Linked DNA regions of Caenorhabditis elegans. The protein of the gene in region 2 purifies or fractionates together with the protein of the main gene of each other region. This does not show direct contact. Each region holds a gene or a part of one and is shown on either strand. Other genes may lie near its edges.

Region 1 (7,154 bases), on a different chromosome or scaffold from region 2:
TTGACAAATGTTCCCTAGAAATAAGTTGTAATTTTTAAATCTGTGTTTTTGATTTTAACCAAATATAAATTATAAATAGACACATTTTCCTATAAGAAACTTTAAAAAATTGATTTTTTTTTCCGAAAAACATTTTTTTTTTTTAAATTTCCTGGTTTTTTTTTTTCAAAACTTAACAGTATAAAACTCAAAAATATTTACGATAAATTCTTAAAATTTGAATTTCAAAAAATATTTTACAGGTTCGAAAAACGGTAAAACGTGAGATTCGAATGATGATTAAAGAACATCAACGACTTCCGGGTAGTGTTTGGAGAGGAATAGCCCAGCGATGGTCATCCACGTCATCAAAAAAGAAGAATTCTGATGAACCGGAGCAGGCAGTGAGTATTGTCAGTTTTCTATGGAAATGATTTTGAGCTTACTTCGGAGCTCGCTTTTTGTGATTTCTTTATATTTAACCAACTGCTTCAAGTTGGTAAATGATTCTAATTCTGAAAATGTAAAAAAAAATTTGCGAAATTTAAATTTTTAGTCTATTTTTTTCTTCTTCTACACCTTCAAATGCGTGCGTATTTTCTCGAAATGGTATCGCCACGCGCCACCCATTGTTTTTCAAATCTTTTTTTCAAAATCAATGGGTGGCGCGTGGAGAGATCATTTCGCGAAAATACGCGCACCTTTGAAGTCGTAAAGGAAGGAAAAATATACTGTATAGTTTTTCAACACTGACATATGTTGAACCTCACCCAAAACTCCCGAGCCTCACTTAAACTCTCAGCCTCACCCAAAATCTTTAGCCTCAACCAAAAATCCTCAGCCTCAATCAAAAATTCTCAGCCTCAACCAAAAATTCTCAGCCTCAACCTAAAATTCTCAGCCTCAACCAAAAATTCTGAGCCTCAACCAAAAATTCTCAGCCTCAATCAAAAATTCTCAGCCTCAACCAAAAATTCTCAGCCTCAACCAAAAATTCTCAGCCTCAACCTAAAATTCTCAGCCTCAACCAAAAATCCTCAGCCTCAATCAAAAATCCTCAGCCTCAACCAAAAATTCTCAGCCTCAATCAAAAATTCTCAGCCTCAACCAAAAATTCTCAGCCTCAACCAAAAATTCTCAGCCTCAACCTAAAAATTCTCAGCCTCAACCTAAAATTCTCAGCCTCAACCAAAAATTCTGAGCCTCAACCAAAAATTCTCAGCCTCAACCAAAAATTCTCAGCCTCAACCAAAAATTCTCAGCTTCAACCAAAAATCCTCAGCCTCAACCAAAAATTCTCAGCCTCAACCAAAAATTCTCAGCCTCAACCAAAAATTCTCAGCCTCAACCAAAAATTCTCAGCCTCAACCAAAAATTCTCAGCCTCAACCAAAAATTCTCAGCCTCAACCAAAAATTCTGAGCCTCAACCAAAAATTCTCAGCTTCAACCAAAAATCCTCAGCCTCAACCAAAAATTCTTCGGAGCCGTTTTTTTTTCTATTTTTAACAGAAATTTGGAACCGCAAACAGACAAAATTCGGCCATCAGTTTTTCCACGGCCACGTAGCACTGTCAGCTCACTGGAGAAGCTCAACTATTTTTCTTTTATTAAGGAAACATTACAAAAATTTGAGAAAAAATCAAAAAATTGATAAGAAATTCAATTTTATTTGTTTCCTCAAAAGTTTTTTTTCCAAATTCTTATTCTTAGTCTTTTTGGGAACTCTTTTCCTGAAAAAATCTAATGATTCTCATTACCATAATACTTTTTTGGTGCGGCTGAAAATTATGAATTGTTATGTTTTATTTATTATTTTGACGAATTTTTGTTAAAAATTAAAATCATAAAAAAGAAACGGTTCAGTAACTATGACATTTTCCAAAAATTCCTGCAAATTTTCTTGAATATATGGAAATTAAAGAAAATTTTCCATTCTCCAAAACAATTTTTAATTCTTAATCTTTTCAGGAACTCCTACAACGAAACGGAGCAGGAACGACGAGTCCAACGTCAGACTCAGAAGATATCGTGGTGCTCCGACGGGATCGATCCGGAGTTGAAGATGATGATGATGAAGTTGATGAGCTCGGTGGAATCTAAATTTTTTTTAAATCTGAATACTGTATTTTTGTGTTCTTTTTGGATCTCTCTGTGCATCTAAATTTCTGTGTAATTTTCAATTTTGCAGCTTTTAATCTCTTTTTTTGGGAGGTTCTCATTGAAAATATCCAGCGGAAATTGCTACAATATTCAAAAAAAAAAATTCTCGAGAAATCGAAATTTCTAGTAGTTTTTGAGCATTTTCTGTGGGATTTTTCAGTAATTTTTAATGATTTTTTTTTCAAAATTTGCATCCCTGTCCTTGATCTAATCAATAATTTACAAATTATACCCCTTTTTTTCGTAGAAATTACTTTATTTTACAAAAAACCCGTCTTAACTGTGATAAATGTGTACTTTTCCCCCCGTCATAATAATAAATCAAATTTCTATTATTTTTAACGTTTTTTTTTTGCTTTTTTTCCTTTGTTTACTCTACCAATGATTTTATATTTTGATTTTTTTCCTTTTTTCAAATAATTTGCTAGTTTTATCTAAGCTTAGAACCTTTTCAGTTTTTTAAAAAAAGTTTTTTTGTAATTACTTTTTAAAGCGAAAAATCAAAAATTAAAAAAAAAAATCAAATTCCTAAAAAAAACGTTGGAAAAACTTTTTTCTGGAAATTTTTTTTTTAATTGTTTAAAAACAACGAAAAAAAATTAGCTATCTAAATTTTTCTTAACTTTTTTCTGGAAATTATTTGTTTTTGTTTTTAATTTTTGCTGGGATCTATTGAATGGAATTTTTGAAAGAACCAAGAAATGGGCGGAGCCTATTCCAAATAATTTGAGGCTGAAAAAAGTGAAATAAAATTGTTTTATTTACTTTGTGTTCGGGTTCTCAAGTTTCCTTCAACAAACTTTTTGGTCTAAAGCTCTTTAGATTTTCAAAACAAAAAACCAATTAAATTTTCTTGTTTTAGAACAATTTTAATGCTGAAATCTAAGAAATTGAATTTTAAAAAACCAAGAAATGGGTGGAGCTTATTACAAATAATTTCATTGTCCGACACCACTCCAAATATCCGATTGGAAAGTGAAGTCTAACACATAAAACAGATGACATTCGCCGGGAACAAAAACCACAAAATAAGCTCCGCCCATCTCATGGCTTTTATGTATAAATGATTTAATACGCACGTTTCAATTAAGTTTTACTGAATTAATAAAAAAATTCTTTTAAAAAAATTCTGAAATTTTGAAAGCTTTTGATATTTATAAAAGCTTAAAGCCAATATATGGGCGGAGCCTATTAGCGATTTTAATTTGGATTACGCTCCGCCCTTTTCTTGGCTATTTTTGAGTTGTTTTCTCGAATTTTCACATTTTTTCGAGCAACACGAAGGTGTCTACTGGTACGGTAGATCACGATCACCTACACAATCATGTCAACATTTCCCTGAAATAACGAAATAAATTGAATTTTGTTGTGATTGGAAATTTTTTTTTGTTTTTTCTTTGCTGAGCCAAATCATATTATCTTCTTAAGAAACTATTTTTTACTTTTTTATTGAAACATTCAAAAAACTGAAAATTATAATAAATTTCAGATTAAAACTCAAGAGATGAAGCTCGGAGACACCGTTCCAAATTTTACATTCGAAACGGATCTTCGCAAAAATCAAACTTTGCACAACTACATTGGAGAACAGTGAGTTTGGAGAAAAAATTGTTAATTTGGTTGTACTTTATTGGATAGTTTGAGTTAATTTGAAAGGATTTTGAAAAAACAAATTTTTTTGGAAATTTTGAAAAAAAATGAAAAATTGAGTTAAAGGTGGTGTAGCCGGATTTTTTTAAATTGCTTTATTAGACTCAAAATTGTCTGAAAACAAGGAATTTCGTTATGAAATTTCATGAAAATTTCTCAAAAAAAAAATTAAGACGGCTCAAAAATGGCCTAAAATTAGTTAAAATTAGAAATTTGACCTACTTTTCAATGTCGCCTTTACTCAAAATTTGACGATGATTTCAAAAAAAATTGGTTCCAGCCGCTTCGACATTGACAAGTCGGTCAAATTTTCGATTTTAACTAATTTTAGGCTAGTTTTTAAGCCGTCATAACTTTTTTTTGAGAAGTTTTCAAGAAGTTTCATGTTGAAATTTGGCGTTTTCAGACAATTTTGAGTCTAGTAAAGAAATAAATAAAAATTCGACTACTCCACCTTTAATAACATCTATTTTCCAAAAAAATATGGATTTTTTTTTTCTAAAAAATTAACGATTTACTATATAAAAAATGTTAAAAACATTTCGAAATTTTTTTTTTCAAAAGTTACATTTTCAGGTGAATTTAAATATTTTAAAAAAGTCCTGAATAATTTTCGCAAAAAGTTGAAAAAACACATTTAAAAAGTATTTCAGAATTTTTATAATTTTTTTTTGCAAAAATCTACTTTTTCACTTTAAAATTCTTTTATTAAAAAAATAAATTCCAATCCAAAACGATCCAATTTTCAGATGGCTGATGCTGTTCAGTCACCCGGCCGACTTTACGCCCGTCTGCACTACAGAACTCGCCGAGCTCGTCAAATTGGCTCCCGAATTCCGCAAACGCCATGTTCAGATCCTTGCGATCAGTATCGATTCATCAGAAACTCATCGTGATTGGGCAAAAGACATTAATTCGGTGGCACAATTGAGCAATTGCGGAAGCCATTTGCCATTTGAAATCATCGCCGACACGGATCGATCGATTTGTACAGAACTCGGAATGATTGATCCGGATGAGATGAATTCGGAGGGAATCTGTCTTTCGGCTCGTGCTGTGATGCTTTTTGGACCTGATAAGAAGCTCAAATCGAAGATTCTCTATCCGGCTACGTTCGGCAGAAATTTTGTGTGAGTGAGAAGATTTCGAGGGGAGAGAATTCAAGTTTTCAGACATTTCTGGATCTCAAAAATTCACAGAATTCGAATAATCAATAGATTTTTGTTGAAATTTGAATTCTAAAAAAAACTATTTTTGCTTTTTTTGCAAGTAGATTTTTGCAAGCCTCCTGAAACAAAAAAATTGAAAAAGCTAAATTTTCCACAATTTTCGAATGACTCCGTTTTTTTTAAAACTGTTTGCCAAACTACACGTGGTGTCAGAGTATCTCATTTTGGATTGATCTACGTTGATCTACAAAAAATGCGGGAGAAGAGACGCAGAGTTTTTAACTGATTTCGTATGATTAAGAACGTGCTGACGTCACTTTTTTTTGGGCAAAAAATTCCGGCATTTTTTGTAGATCAAACCGTGATGCACGGATTTCTGGCTTCCCTTATAAATCGAAATGGCAGAGTTGGCCGAACTAGGCCATTTTGGGTCGGAGAGATTTTGTGTAGATTTACGGAGCGCGAAAATTCAATGAGAAAGGCCAGAACCCAGTGGTAATGGGACAGCCTGACACCACGTGAAACTAGAAAATTCAATAAATGAATTCACGAACAAAGTCGAATTACATATTTTTAGACTGAAAAACTAGAAAAAATATTTAGAATTATCAATTTTCCAGTCATTAGCCTTGGCGCCTAAAATTCCCCATAATTTCCAGCGAAATTCTCCGCATGGTCGACGGTGTTCAACTCGGCACAAAGGCTCCAGTGGCAACTCCGGCTAACTGGATTGCCGGTGACAATGTCATCGCTCAACCATCTCTGAGTCAAGAGAGAGTTATTCAGGAGCTTTGTGGTGGAGATCCAGACAAATGCAAGACGGTTCCGTTGCCGAGTGGAAAGAGTTATCTACGTGTCATCGAGGGAGACGCTTACTTGCAGAATTGATATTTTATTTAAATATGTGTTACTTTTTGTTGGTTGCCTGGTTTTAATGTTGAATTTTTCCAATTTTATAAATCAATTATGTTGTTTTATTTCTGAAAAAGCAACTCGATTTTGAGTGAGGCTCTGGAATTTCGGGAATTTTATAGTTAACAGTTTTACAAAAATGCAAAAATGGTTTTTCACAATTTAATCCGAACTGTAATTTTCAAACTCCAGCTGTTTCCATTTTGTGTTTCTTCCTTCTCGTCGAAGATGTGAATTTCAGAAAATGTGTTGATATGGATGAGAACATTACGTCCGAGTTGAGATCTTCTGGAACAAAATCATTTTTTGACGTAAATTCCTTAACAGTAAAAGTACAACAATCCTCTGTCTGTACATAGAAGTACAGTACCCTTCTACAGTAACCATACTTTCTCTTTTTCCAATTTCCCGTAGTTTCGAACGTTTTCAGAAAAATTATTTTTTTTGCCCAAAAAAAAAGTACAGTCATTAGATGGCTGAAAAAAATTTGGGCAAAAATAAAAAGTGGTCTAATTTTGTTGAAGACGGGTAATTCATATATGGAGAATTCAGAAAATCTAGGTTTAACCCATCAAAAACTATTAAAAAGTGGCAAAAATGACAATTTATGACAAAAAAGCACAATTTTGAAACTCCTCTAAAATAGGCAATTTTGTAGTTAGAGGGCTCAAAATTGATCTGAGAACACTAAAAAACTGCCCTTTTCCAATTTCCCGTAGTTTCGAACGTTTTCAGAAAAATTATTTTTTTTGCCCAAAAAAAAAAGTACAGTCTGATGGCTGAAAAAAATTTGGGCAAAAATAAAAAGTGGTCTAATTTTGTTGAAGACGGGTAATTCATATATGGAGAATTCAGAAAATCTAGGTTTAACCCATCAAAAACTATTAAAAAGTGGCAAAAATGACAATTTATGACAAAAAAGCACAATTTTGAAACTCCTCTAAAATAGGCAATTTTGTAGTTAGAGGGCTCAAAATTGATCTGAGAACACTAAAAAACTGCCCTTTTCCAATTTCCCGTAGTTTCGAACGTTTTCAGAAAAATTATTTTTTTTGCCCAAAAAAAAAAAGTACAGTCATTAGATGGCTGAAAAAAATTTGGGCAAAAATAAAAAGTGGTCTAATTTTGTTGAAGACGGGTAATTCATATATGGAGAATTCAGAAAATCTAGGTTTAACCCATCAAAAACTATTAAAAAGTGGCAAAAATGACAATTTATGACAAAAAAGCACAATTTTGAAACTTCTCTAAAATAGGCAATTTTGTAGTTAGAGGGCTCAAAA
Region 2 (10,203 bases):
TTCAATATCCATTTGAATCTGCTTATCGACTCGTTCAAACGCCATATTCTTTCGATAAAGAGTCCATCCTGATGCCTTCAGAAGTACAGCAATCAGGGCAACGCCAACTGGTATTAGGGAAAAGCGTATCCGATAACTCATGTCTGAAAATTTTTTGTTTTTCGTATGAAAAATGCGTTAAAAAAATGGAAATTGATAAAAATTATTAATTTTAAAATTTAAATTGAAAAAAAAAACATTGGCGCCGGAACACTTTATCAGTTGGGCGCGACTGCATCAGACACGTCACGTGACAATTGTTTTCCCAACTTTCATGCTGGTGAGAAAATGGGTGGAGCTCCTTTACATTATTTTTCAAAAACAACAGAATGTTAAGATTTACAACAAAAAAAATGAAGACCTTCTTTTTTGTGCTTGTTTCATGTAATTACTGGTTGAACTGATAAACCTGAAAGATGGACTCCGCCTACTTTTCCACAAATTTGAATTCTCTGGAGTTTCTCGTTCCTCAATGTCTGATGGCTCCCGGAAAAATATTTCTTTTAATATGCATTTTCAGAACATTAAGCTTCAATGTCTTTTTTTCACACTCACAGGCAAAGCGGGTACGGTCCGTTTACGGATCTTGGACCGGGAACGGACCATTAACGGGCGAACTACGGATATGAAAAGCGGGACGGACCAATTACGGGCAAACTACGGGGAATGTAAAAAATGGCCATTAAGAGGAAAAAATGGATTTTAAGAAAACGAATTTTTTAATACCTATGATACCAGTTGGCTAATTCAAGCATTTTTACGTCGTTAAATGCATTATTTAGAGCAAAAACCACATTTACCGACCGAGATGGCTCTTGAGCCGTAGTTGGGCCGTTTCCGGTCCGTAGACGGTCCGTCGCCGGCCCGTAGACGGACCGTAAATGAACCGTCCCGGGCATCAAATTTTTGTTTTTGAAAATTTCAGGTTCTAGCACGGAAAAAGTGCTCAAATTAGCCAAAGGAGAGTGTAGGCACGTCAAAAACTCCATTTTCATGAAAAAAATGTTTCGTATTATCCTCCGTTTTGGTGATCATCCGTAGTTCGGCCGTAGCCGGTCCGTAGATGGTCCGTAAATTAACCGTCCCCGTCGGCAAAACTGCACTTTTTAAAACTAAACCTTGAATCCGGCAAAAAATTAGCCAACTGGCTACAATGGACCAAATAGCATTGTGGGTACTTCAAAAACTCAATTTTCATGAAAAAAAAATTCCTCTGGGCAACCATTTTGTCTATCATCCGTCCAACTGGTCCGTACGCGGCCCGTAATCGCATGCGATCTAACTGAGGCTATTAAGCATGACATTGTGTGTAAAAGAGGTTATATTAATGTAATCCTATAAACATATCAATAAAAAAGATGAAATGCCACAATTGGGTAGATACTGTGTATACGCAACGTTCACTCTCTCTGCTGGTCTTCTTCAGCTGAGCAACAGGAGCATTTTTTGAAATATCATAAAATATTTTACTAACAATACATTCTGGAATCATATCGTTTCTGTTCCGTGTGTATTTTAAGAAATTAAGGTATCATTCAAGTAGAACGCATATACCTTATTTCCTCTATTAGTATTGCAACCCGGTCCAATCGAAAATTAATCTTGCATGCAAGACTAATGGAGGAAATATGGTAAGTACCACTTCTATATTACAAGTAGATGGAGCACGTATAGGTAGATGTTAAGAAATATGCGAAATAAGTTCTGAACTACACGAAACTGTCAATTGTTATCGTTCGCTTTCATATAAGTCCAACGGCAAGATGGAGAATCAGAAACTACTGAAAATACAATCGAAAAAGTTGGTGTAAGACGTGAAAACCAGAAGAAAATGCGCGAGCGCAAGCTGATCGCTATTTATGCGAAGTCCATTGATTTTCCTCGCGTGCGCGAACGGCCAAATGGTAAGGTGATGGGCCAGTAATCAATCGACAGGCAGAGGACAAGTTCAACACCGGCTGAGGCAGATAGAATTGCTACAACGAAGGATCACCGGAAGACGGTCTGGAGCAAGACCGGAGCTCGGTGGAGCATTGGGAAAGAAAAAGGGGGCAGCTGGAGGGTGAAAAAATTTTCCAATTTTTTAGTCTCCTTACGGTTCAATTACGGTCCGTTGACGGACCGGGAATCGAACCGTGAACCGTTCTTAAATTTGAGCCGTTCCCGGTCCATGAACGGACCGTTTTGGGCACTTTCCGCTTTGCCTGTGACTGTTTACGTGATAAAGAACGATAATTTTTCATAAATCGCTTTCGAAATCCATAAAACACAAGTGAACGTTTTATTTGGTGGCATTTACAAAAAATGAATTTTAGATCGTTAAATTCAATGTAAAAATTCTTATTAGCGTTCCTTTCTACGATGATGGAGGAAGGAAGACGACAGGGATACGACGAACTCCTGAAATTAAAGATTTTTTTCTGAAAATTCTATGCCAGCCGCACCTTCCGCGTCTTTCAGCCCATCCTTCCATAGTGGCGGAGACTGACGAGCACTCGGAGACGCATTTTTGTGGTAAAATGCGAAATAATGCTTCTTCTCCGGCTGCAGGTGGGTGTTGGCGCTCCACATCACAAGATTGACAGTTGCACCGGCATTGATGAATGCAATCGGCGGTTGAACACGGAACAGCTCCGCTGAAGTGCAACGAACTTTGAATGTGATTCTCTTGTCTGTCGGATTGTGAAGTCGGAGATTCACATAGGATGGTTCTGAAGTGGTTGGAAATACCACCTGGAATAAAGATTTTATCCAATCCATTCTCATGGGAACCTCATTTTCACACCTTTTTCACGTCGAGCCACAACTGGAAAGCGGGCTCACCGGGCTTATTGGCCATACCCGAGTCTTCGCTCGCACCTGCATCTGTGAAGGGAAGATCTGCGGTGCTTGGTGTGAAGGTCTGATGGAAATTTGGTAGATTTAAACACAAACATTGAAAAAACTCACCTTTGCTGCCAGCTTCATAATTGTTAAATAAAAGAAAAACGTTGTTTTTCTTTTATTTGTAATTGTAATTGTTGTGGTCCAATTGAAATTCACGTTTTCCATCAACTAATTCGTGAATCCCCCTCAAAAATTTCAATTTTCCAAAAACATATTTGAATTCCCTCCAATATCGAGATATGCGCCAGCAAAACTGGAAATGCGCCAGCAGCCCCTCTGGCGCATCTCTCGATTTTCTCGCATTTTTAATGAATTTTCAGAAAAATTCCACGTTTTTAATTCGTTTTTACCGGAAAATTTACCATATTTTCGATTTAATTTGTGGAAAATATAAATTTCAGATTAGTTTTTCACTAATTCAATTAAAATCTTGTAAATTTTTGTCTGTTTTGAAGATAATTGCGTCATTTTCAAGTTTTTCAGCTTTCCACATGTCACTTTTATCACATTTGAGCCGGTTATGTTGTTCGAAATGTTCTTCAATACCTTCTAGCTCAACCAGGTAATTAGTTGTGTCTTTTAAAATCTAATTTGAAGCTCTCATATTTCAGATTATTTTGTTTCGCGCCACAAGTTGGACGATCAACGGGATTTTTAAAAAGCACACTAATAAAGTCAAAACAAGCGTTTAGAAATGTAAGTTTACAAGGAATTCTATAATAAATATAAATTATTTTCAGGTCAGTGTAGTGGAAACAAAAAGGGAATCGTATAAGCTGAAAAATGCGAGTTGGAAAGATTTGAAAGCGATTTTATCACTCGCAGGTCCTTATAAATGGCGAATTATGCGTATGTTTCGAGAATTATCTGAATAAAGTCCTAAATTTATCGATTTTTTCAGTCGGAATTTCATTTCTCGGCATTAGTAGTTCGATTTTCCTCTTCACACCTCGCGTTCTCGGAAAATTAATCGACGAGTGGGACGAGACGAAGCAAGATAAAATGGATCCGAACGATAAAGCCCTACTATTGGCTCGATTTTTCAAAGAAAATCCAATTGCTCTAGCTGGAGTTTTCATGTTGGGCGCGATTGCTATTGCCGCCAGAATTTACTGCATGCACACGGCGGGTATGGCAAAACTTTTAAACTGAAATTTAATTATTTAAAATTTAATTAAAATTTTTTCAGGTCAACTTGTGATCAATGATCTTCGCAAAAGTGTGTTCAACAGTGTTCTCCGTCAAGATATGGCATTTTTCGATAAAAATAAAGTCGGAGAAATTGTTTCTCGTCTTTCTACTGATGCTCTTATCGTTGGATATTCAGTTTCGATGAATTTGAGTGATGGAGCCCGTGCATTGATCACTTGTTTCGGTTCTGGAGGTCTTATGGTGCGATTGAGCTTCACGAAATCTTTGAAATTGGAAAAATTGTCTTGAAAACCCTCCTCGTGTCGATTTACGTAGCTCGTGTACTCCTCGTGAAGAAGTTTTTTTTAGCGAAAATGCTGAATTTTTGGACTTTTTTATGTTTGAAAAAATTAAAACCTTGAATTTAAAGTTTTTTAAATATTAAATCCGATTCTAAACTCTAATTTTCAGATAACTTTTTCAGAAAAAAAAATAATTAAAAATTGAAAAATACCGGAATTTTCAATATTTTTTTGCAAATTGAAAAAAAAAAAATCTAAAACCTGTTTAGATTTATCAACAAAAAAACAGTATTATTAACAAAAATTAAGAAAATTTCTTCAAAAATACACAAAAATGAGATAAAATTGAAATTTTGAAACTTGTTTTCCAAATTTTTCTGATTTTCTGCAGTTTCAAAAAAAAAAAATCAGAAAGCACAAATTATTCGATTTTTTCAATGGAAAACTTGAAATTTTCAAAAAAAATCTCCTGAAGAATTGAAAAGAACCCTGAAATTATTGAAATTAAAAAAACCCTTAACAATCTAAATTTTAAATAAGTTTTAAGTAGAAAATTTTGCAAAAAAAACTTCTCCTCGTGGAGTACACGAGCTGCGTAAATCGACACTTCGAATATAAAAATGATTTTTTATTCGTTTTTCCCTGAATTCTCCAATAAAATTGAATTTTCTTCCAGGTCTACACCTCCCTGGCAATGTGCAAAGTGATTTTTGTCGTCGTACCGGTCATCGTTGGAACTTTTGCAGTTTTCGGAAAGCTTCAGAGAAAATACACGTTAATGATGCAAGAAGCTGTCGCCGGAGCGAATCAGGTCGCCACTGAACGTCTTTCTTCCGTTCGAACCGTCCGAATGTTGGTCGCCGAGAGGAAGGAACTCGCCGCGTATTCTGACAAAATTAATGAAATTTGGCAGATTTCGAAGAAGGAAGGACTCGCCAAGGGATTCATGTTTGGATCGGTTTGAAAATTGGAAAAATATTGAAAAAAAAATGGTGGAAATTTTCAGTTCCAATTCACTGGATATCTTGCGCTCTCATCAATTCTATTCTACGGAAGCAATCTGATTAGTCAGGGACTTTTGACATATGGTAAAGATTTATTCGTGTGTCGATTTACGCAGCTCGTGTACTCCTCGAGGAAAAATTTTATGCAAAAATGCTCAATTTTTGAACATTTTTTCTGATTTTTTAAAAGGAATTTGCTGTTAAAATCGCTGAATTTATGATCGAAGATGTCGGAAAATTTCCGTTTTTCTATTTTTTTCAGAAAAAAAATACCGAAGAAAACCATGGATTTATCCATAAAAGTCTTTTTAAAAAAAAAGAGAAATTACCAAAAAATTTGTGTGAAATTGCAAATTTTTTTGAAAAAATGCAAATTGTTTAGAAATTTTTTTTTTGAAAAAATATAAAATTTTGAAAAAAAAAACTGAAAATCCAGGATCCCACAAAATTTAAATTTCTCTGGTTTCCTGTATAAATTTTGTAGATTTTTTTCCCTGAAACACTAGGAAAAAATACAAAAATTATGTATGTCAAAAATGGTTGAAAATTCATGAATTTCCGCCGAAAATCTGTGAAATCCTCTTCTCCACGAGGAGTACACACGCTGCGTAAATGGACACATTGTCACAAAAAGTTTTATCCAAAAAAATCACCAAAAAACTAAAAAAAATTTTAAAAATTTTGCAATTTAATTTATTTTTTCAGGAGAACTTTCCTCATTCTGTCTCTACGCAGTTCTCAGCGCTGGTAGCCTGTCAGCAATGTCTGGATTCTATCTCGAATTGATGAAGGGTCTCGGAGCCAGCTCCCGGCTCTTTGAGCTCAAAAATCGGGAGCCAAGAATTCCGTTGGAAGGAGGTGTTCAAATTGGAAATGTCAAGGATACTATTAGGTATCGCAATACTGAAATAACTTTTGAAATAAAAAATGTAATTTTTTTTTCTCAGATTTGAGCACGTTGCATTCGGATATGCTGACCGGGACCCATTATTCCATAATATTTCATTTGATGTGCCAGCTGGAAAAATCACGGCAGTCGTGGGATCATCTGGATCAGGAAAATCGACAATCGCCTCGCTTTTGCTTAGGTAGAACCATATTTAAGAGGAAAAATACTTAAAATGACCCGAAATTAGCGATAAAATATTATAAAATTTAGAAAAAAGCTGAAAAATTTTTGTTTCAACTTTCGGCACTCTTTTTTGAATTTTTTGCAAAATTTACCCTTACATTATAAAAAAGGGCAAAATTTACGAAAAAAAATTTTTTTCGTAACAAAAAATCCAAATTAAAAATTAAATTTCTTGAAAACCGACGGAATTGCACAAAAAACTTAAAAATATAACAAAAAAAATTTCCGGCCATTTTAAGACAAAATAAGTGGCAAAAATCCATTTTTGGTAGTTTTTGAAGCAAAAAAAAAAAACAAATTTCGTTTTTTTTTTGTTCTTCAAAAATTCAATTAGATTTCCGAAAAATGTGATTAAACTTATTAAAAAAAGCTTTAATTTACGAAAAAAAAACAACCAAAAATTAACGAAAGCCGTTCTTTTCGACGGGAATGAGCAAAAAAAAATTTTCCGATTTGTTTGAGACGTTGCAAGCTTTTTTATTTCAGCAAAATTTTGTTAATTTCCAAAAGTTTTTACGTAAAAACCCAAAATGTAATTTTTTTTTTGAAAAATGTATTATTTCTTTCAAATTCCAGACTCTACGATCCAACGAGCGGTCGAATTTTGGTCGACGGAACCGATTTGAAGGACATTGATCCATCATATTGGCGTCGTCATATTGGAACAGTTGGACAAGAACCGGTTTTATTCTCGACAACTATCAAAGAGAATATTATTTATGGAAGTCTTGAACCTGAAAACGTTACCGACGCTGAAGTGAGTACGAAAAAAACCGGGGATTTGGAAGGAATGCAAAAAATCGAGAAATATCACTAGTTTTCCAACTGAATTTTCATCAGTAAAAAATGTGGTCGATTTTTTTAAACGAATTTTTATCTGAAAAAAAAATCCAAAAAAAATCAATAAACGAAATAATTCTAAAATTTTTTAGTTTTTTCTGGAGATATTTGTTAATTTTGGAGAATAAATTTCGACAAAAAAACCGGAAAACCACCAACAAAAAAAAAAGAATTATTTCCTCCAATAAACTTTTTCGAAAAGCAGTTTTTGGTCCAAAAAAGACCGAAAAATCCATTGTTTAATTTTTCAGTATTTGAAGAAATTCTATTTTTTGGAATAAAAATATTTTTTCCCGCAATAAAATTTCCGAAAAACATTTTTTTCGCATTTTTCAGACAAAAAACAACTATTCTTCAATTCAAAATGTTTTTTTTTCGGAGATTTTTTTTTCTGAATTTTATTTTTACCAACAATACAAAAAATCGTATTATTTCCTCCATTGAAAGTTTTTGAAAAACAGTTTTGGTCCAAAAAATAATTTTTAAAAACCCGTTTTTAAAAACATTTTTTTAATTCCATTTTTAGAAAAAAACCTTATTTTTGAAACATATTGAAAAAATGTTGAAAACCGGTTCGAAAAAAAAACCTCAAACGTTTAATTGTCAAATTACTTGAATTTTTCGAAATTTTCATATTATTGAAATTTCTAGAATTGTCAAAACAAATTAAATTGTTATAATTTTTTGAAAATTTACTTTCTAAAAAATTAATTTTTTAAAAATAATAAAATAAAGAATACAATACAATTCCAACCTGAAATCCGCTATTGAATACTCAAAAATATCCCAAAAACTCCAGAATTTGCAATTTTAATTAGATTTCTATTTTTAGATCGTCTCAGCAGCCGATCAATCCAACGCCGATGAGTTTATCAGCCGATTCCCAATTAAATATGACACAAAGGTGTGTATTCATTTTTCACAAATATTTCAATTTTCAATCTAAAAACCTCGATTTCCAGGTCGGTGAGCACGGATCAACACTAAGTGGAGGACAAAAGCAGAGAATTGCCATCGCCCGTGCTCTTGTCAATGTGAGAAAAATATTTTAGAAAAAGTTTTCCCAGAGCTCTACTAAATCTGAAAATAATTTCAGAAGCCGAATATTCTAATTATGGATGAAGCCACATCGGCACTCGACGCCTCGTCAGAATATCTCGTTCGAATTGCTCTCAACAAATTGCTCGCGAATAGTAAACAGACTGTTATGATTATTGCTCACAGGTAAAGTTTTTAGAGCAAAAAATTCAAAAAAAAATCTAAATTTTTCGATTTTTGGCATTTTAAAAATTACTTTTTTGAAACATTTTGGAGTATACAAGATGCGTCGTAAATCGACATCTTGTCGATTTACGCACATCGTGTGTACTCCTCGAGGAAAACAAGAAACATCGGAAAAATGTCGATTTTTAACAATTTCCGAAATTCCAGACTGTCCACAATCAAGCATGCCGATCAAATCGTTGTAGTCGATAGAGGAAGTGTTGCAGAATCTGGAAGCTATGACGAGCTTATCGCTATCCCCGACGGAATTTTCAGAAAGCTGGTGGAAAAGCAGACATTTGGATTCAAAAATCCCGAATCTTATTAAATCGTTGTTTTTTTTTGTTTTACGAATAGTCGATTTGTTTTCCCCCTAATTTTTATTTCATATCACTTTTTTTTGGTTAGCTTAAAATTTCAGATTTTGTTCTTCTAGGTCATTTTTCTTCCCACTTTTGTGCCTTCCTCTCCCCTGCTACTTTTGTGATGAATTATGTAGAAGAGCTAGTTTAAATTAATAATAATTCCTCCTTTTTTATTATTTGGAAGAAAATATAGAAAAATCATCAAAGTTTAGTAGTAATCGCCTTGCTCCCAGTCTTGACCGTCTCTTTACTTTCGTCCGCCGCCGGCCCCGGAGACCTTACTGTGTACTTTTGCCGAGTGTTCCAGATTAGCTCTGGAAAAAAAATTATTGCATTTATTTGGGGATTACTGTGCTACCAGAAGCAGAGGCGGAACTTCGCTTTGCAATACTGCAGCGCGGTTTTTCAGAATTATTTATTTTACCGTTTTTTGAAAGGTTATTTCGGGTTACTTTTTTATTTTGTGAAAAAATTTACAGAATTCAACTAACGGATTCGTCGCCTACTCCTGAATTCACCACTGACGCATTTTTTCTCCGAAGTTTCCCAGTTACGAGATCCCCGATAGACTCACTTTTCAACGCTCTACCATACTCAGAAACACAGCTCATCATGATAATTGAATCGAGAGCTGGGTATACTGTGAAGCCGCTCTGAATTATACAAGACGGGAAGCTCATTTCCAAGTCTGCAAATGGAGCATAGATCATGAAGAAGACTGGACAGAACAGTATGATTGTGGGCGCAGTGATCTGTAAACCGCGACTTCTGATTATGTGAAAGAACACATGAAACTAACCTGTATCACGAGGGCTCTGAAGAATTGCTTATGAAGGCGACGGTTTTGGGCGGATAGGACGGAGAGTTTGGCGCGCATTCCATGATACATTTGATGCCCACAAATCAATATAACCGAGTATTGAATTGTGGAGATCAATGTCATTAGAGAGAGCCCATAGACATTCCTCCAGCGGATGCTATTACCTTCATAGGCAATCAGGCCAAGCACAGGGATATCTGTGATGTTCCTCTCGTAACGAAGAAGTATCTCCCCACCAAGGTATTCTCTTCCGAAGTCATCCATCGCAAAGAAATGCCCAACTGCAAATGCCCATAGGACTCCGAAGAATGAGTAATAGGACACCCAAATCAAGTAGTACCATCCATGGAAATATTTGATCTTCGGAGTATCAAAAAGTGCCCAGTACCGATAAATGAATTGAATTGCCAGCTGACAGATT

What was found. Proteins that work in one complex are often made in the same cells at the same time.
Region 1: the proteins of haf-3 (region 2) and prdx-6 fractionate together in Caenorhabditis elegans (co-fractionation; one large-scale study listed by BioGRID). This does not show direct contact.

What each region holds. Positions count from the first base shown.
Region 1 is NC_003282.8:214,923-222,076, forward strand, and holds prdx-6 (Thioredoxin domain-containing protein), read left to right. Parts: upstream 1-3,629; 5' UTR 3,630-3,644; coding exon 3,645-3,730; intron 3,731-4,539; coding exon 4,540-4,920; intron 4,921-5,618; coding exon 5,619-5,847; 3' UTR 5,848-5,931; downstream 5,932-7,154. Other genes in the region: Y38C1AA.1 (Phospholipid/glycerol acyltransferase domain-containing protein), read left to right, coding at 243-392, 1,949-2,080.
Region 2 is NC_003283.11:15,759,378-15,769,580, reverse strand, and holds haf-3 (ABC transmembrane type-1 domain-containing protein), read left to right. Parts: upstream 1-3,408; 5' UTR 3,409-3,416; coding exon 3,417-3,487; intron 3,488-3,536; coding exon 3,537-3,621; intron 3,622-3,665; coding exon 3,666-3,774; intron 3,775-3,826; coding exon 3,827-4,054; intron 4,055-4,114; coding exon 4,115-4,317; intron 4,318-5,034; coding exon 5,035-5,316; intron 5,317-5,364; coding exon 5,365-5,446; intron 5,447-5,732; exon of another isoform or gene 5,733-5,873; intron 5,874-6,067; coding exon 6,068-6,254; intron 6,255-6,309; coding exon 6,310-6,450; intron 6,451-7,070; coding exon 7,071-7,251; intron 7,252-8,166; coding exon 8,167-8,238; intron 8,239-8,296; coding exon 8,297-8,368; intron 8,369-8,430; coding exon 8,431-8,558; intron 8,559-8,641; exon of another isoform or gene 8,642-8,698; intron 8,699-8,765; coding exon 8,766-8,925; 3' UTR 8,926-9,126; downstream 9,127-10,203. Other genes in the region: F57A10.4 (Sensor histidine kinase), read right to left, coding at 1-141; F57A10.2 (Major sperm protein), read right to left, coding at 2,396-2,439, 2,484-2,772, 2,825-2,941, 2,989-3,006; str-9 (Seven TM Receptor), read right to left, coding at 9,164-9,276, 9,537-9,714, 9,762-10,203.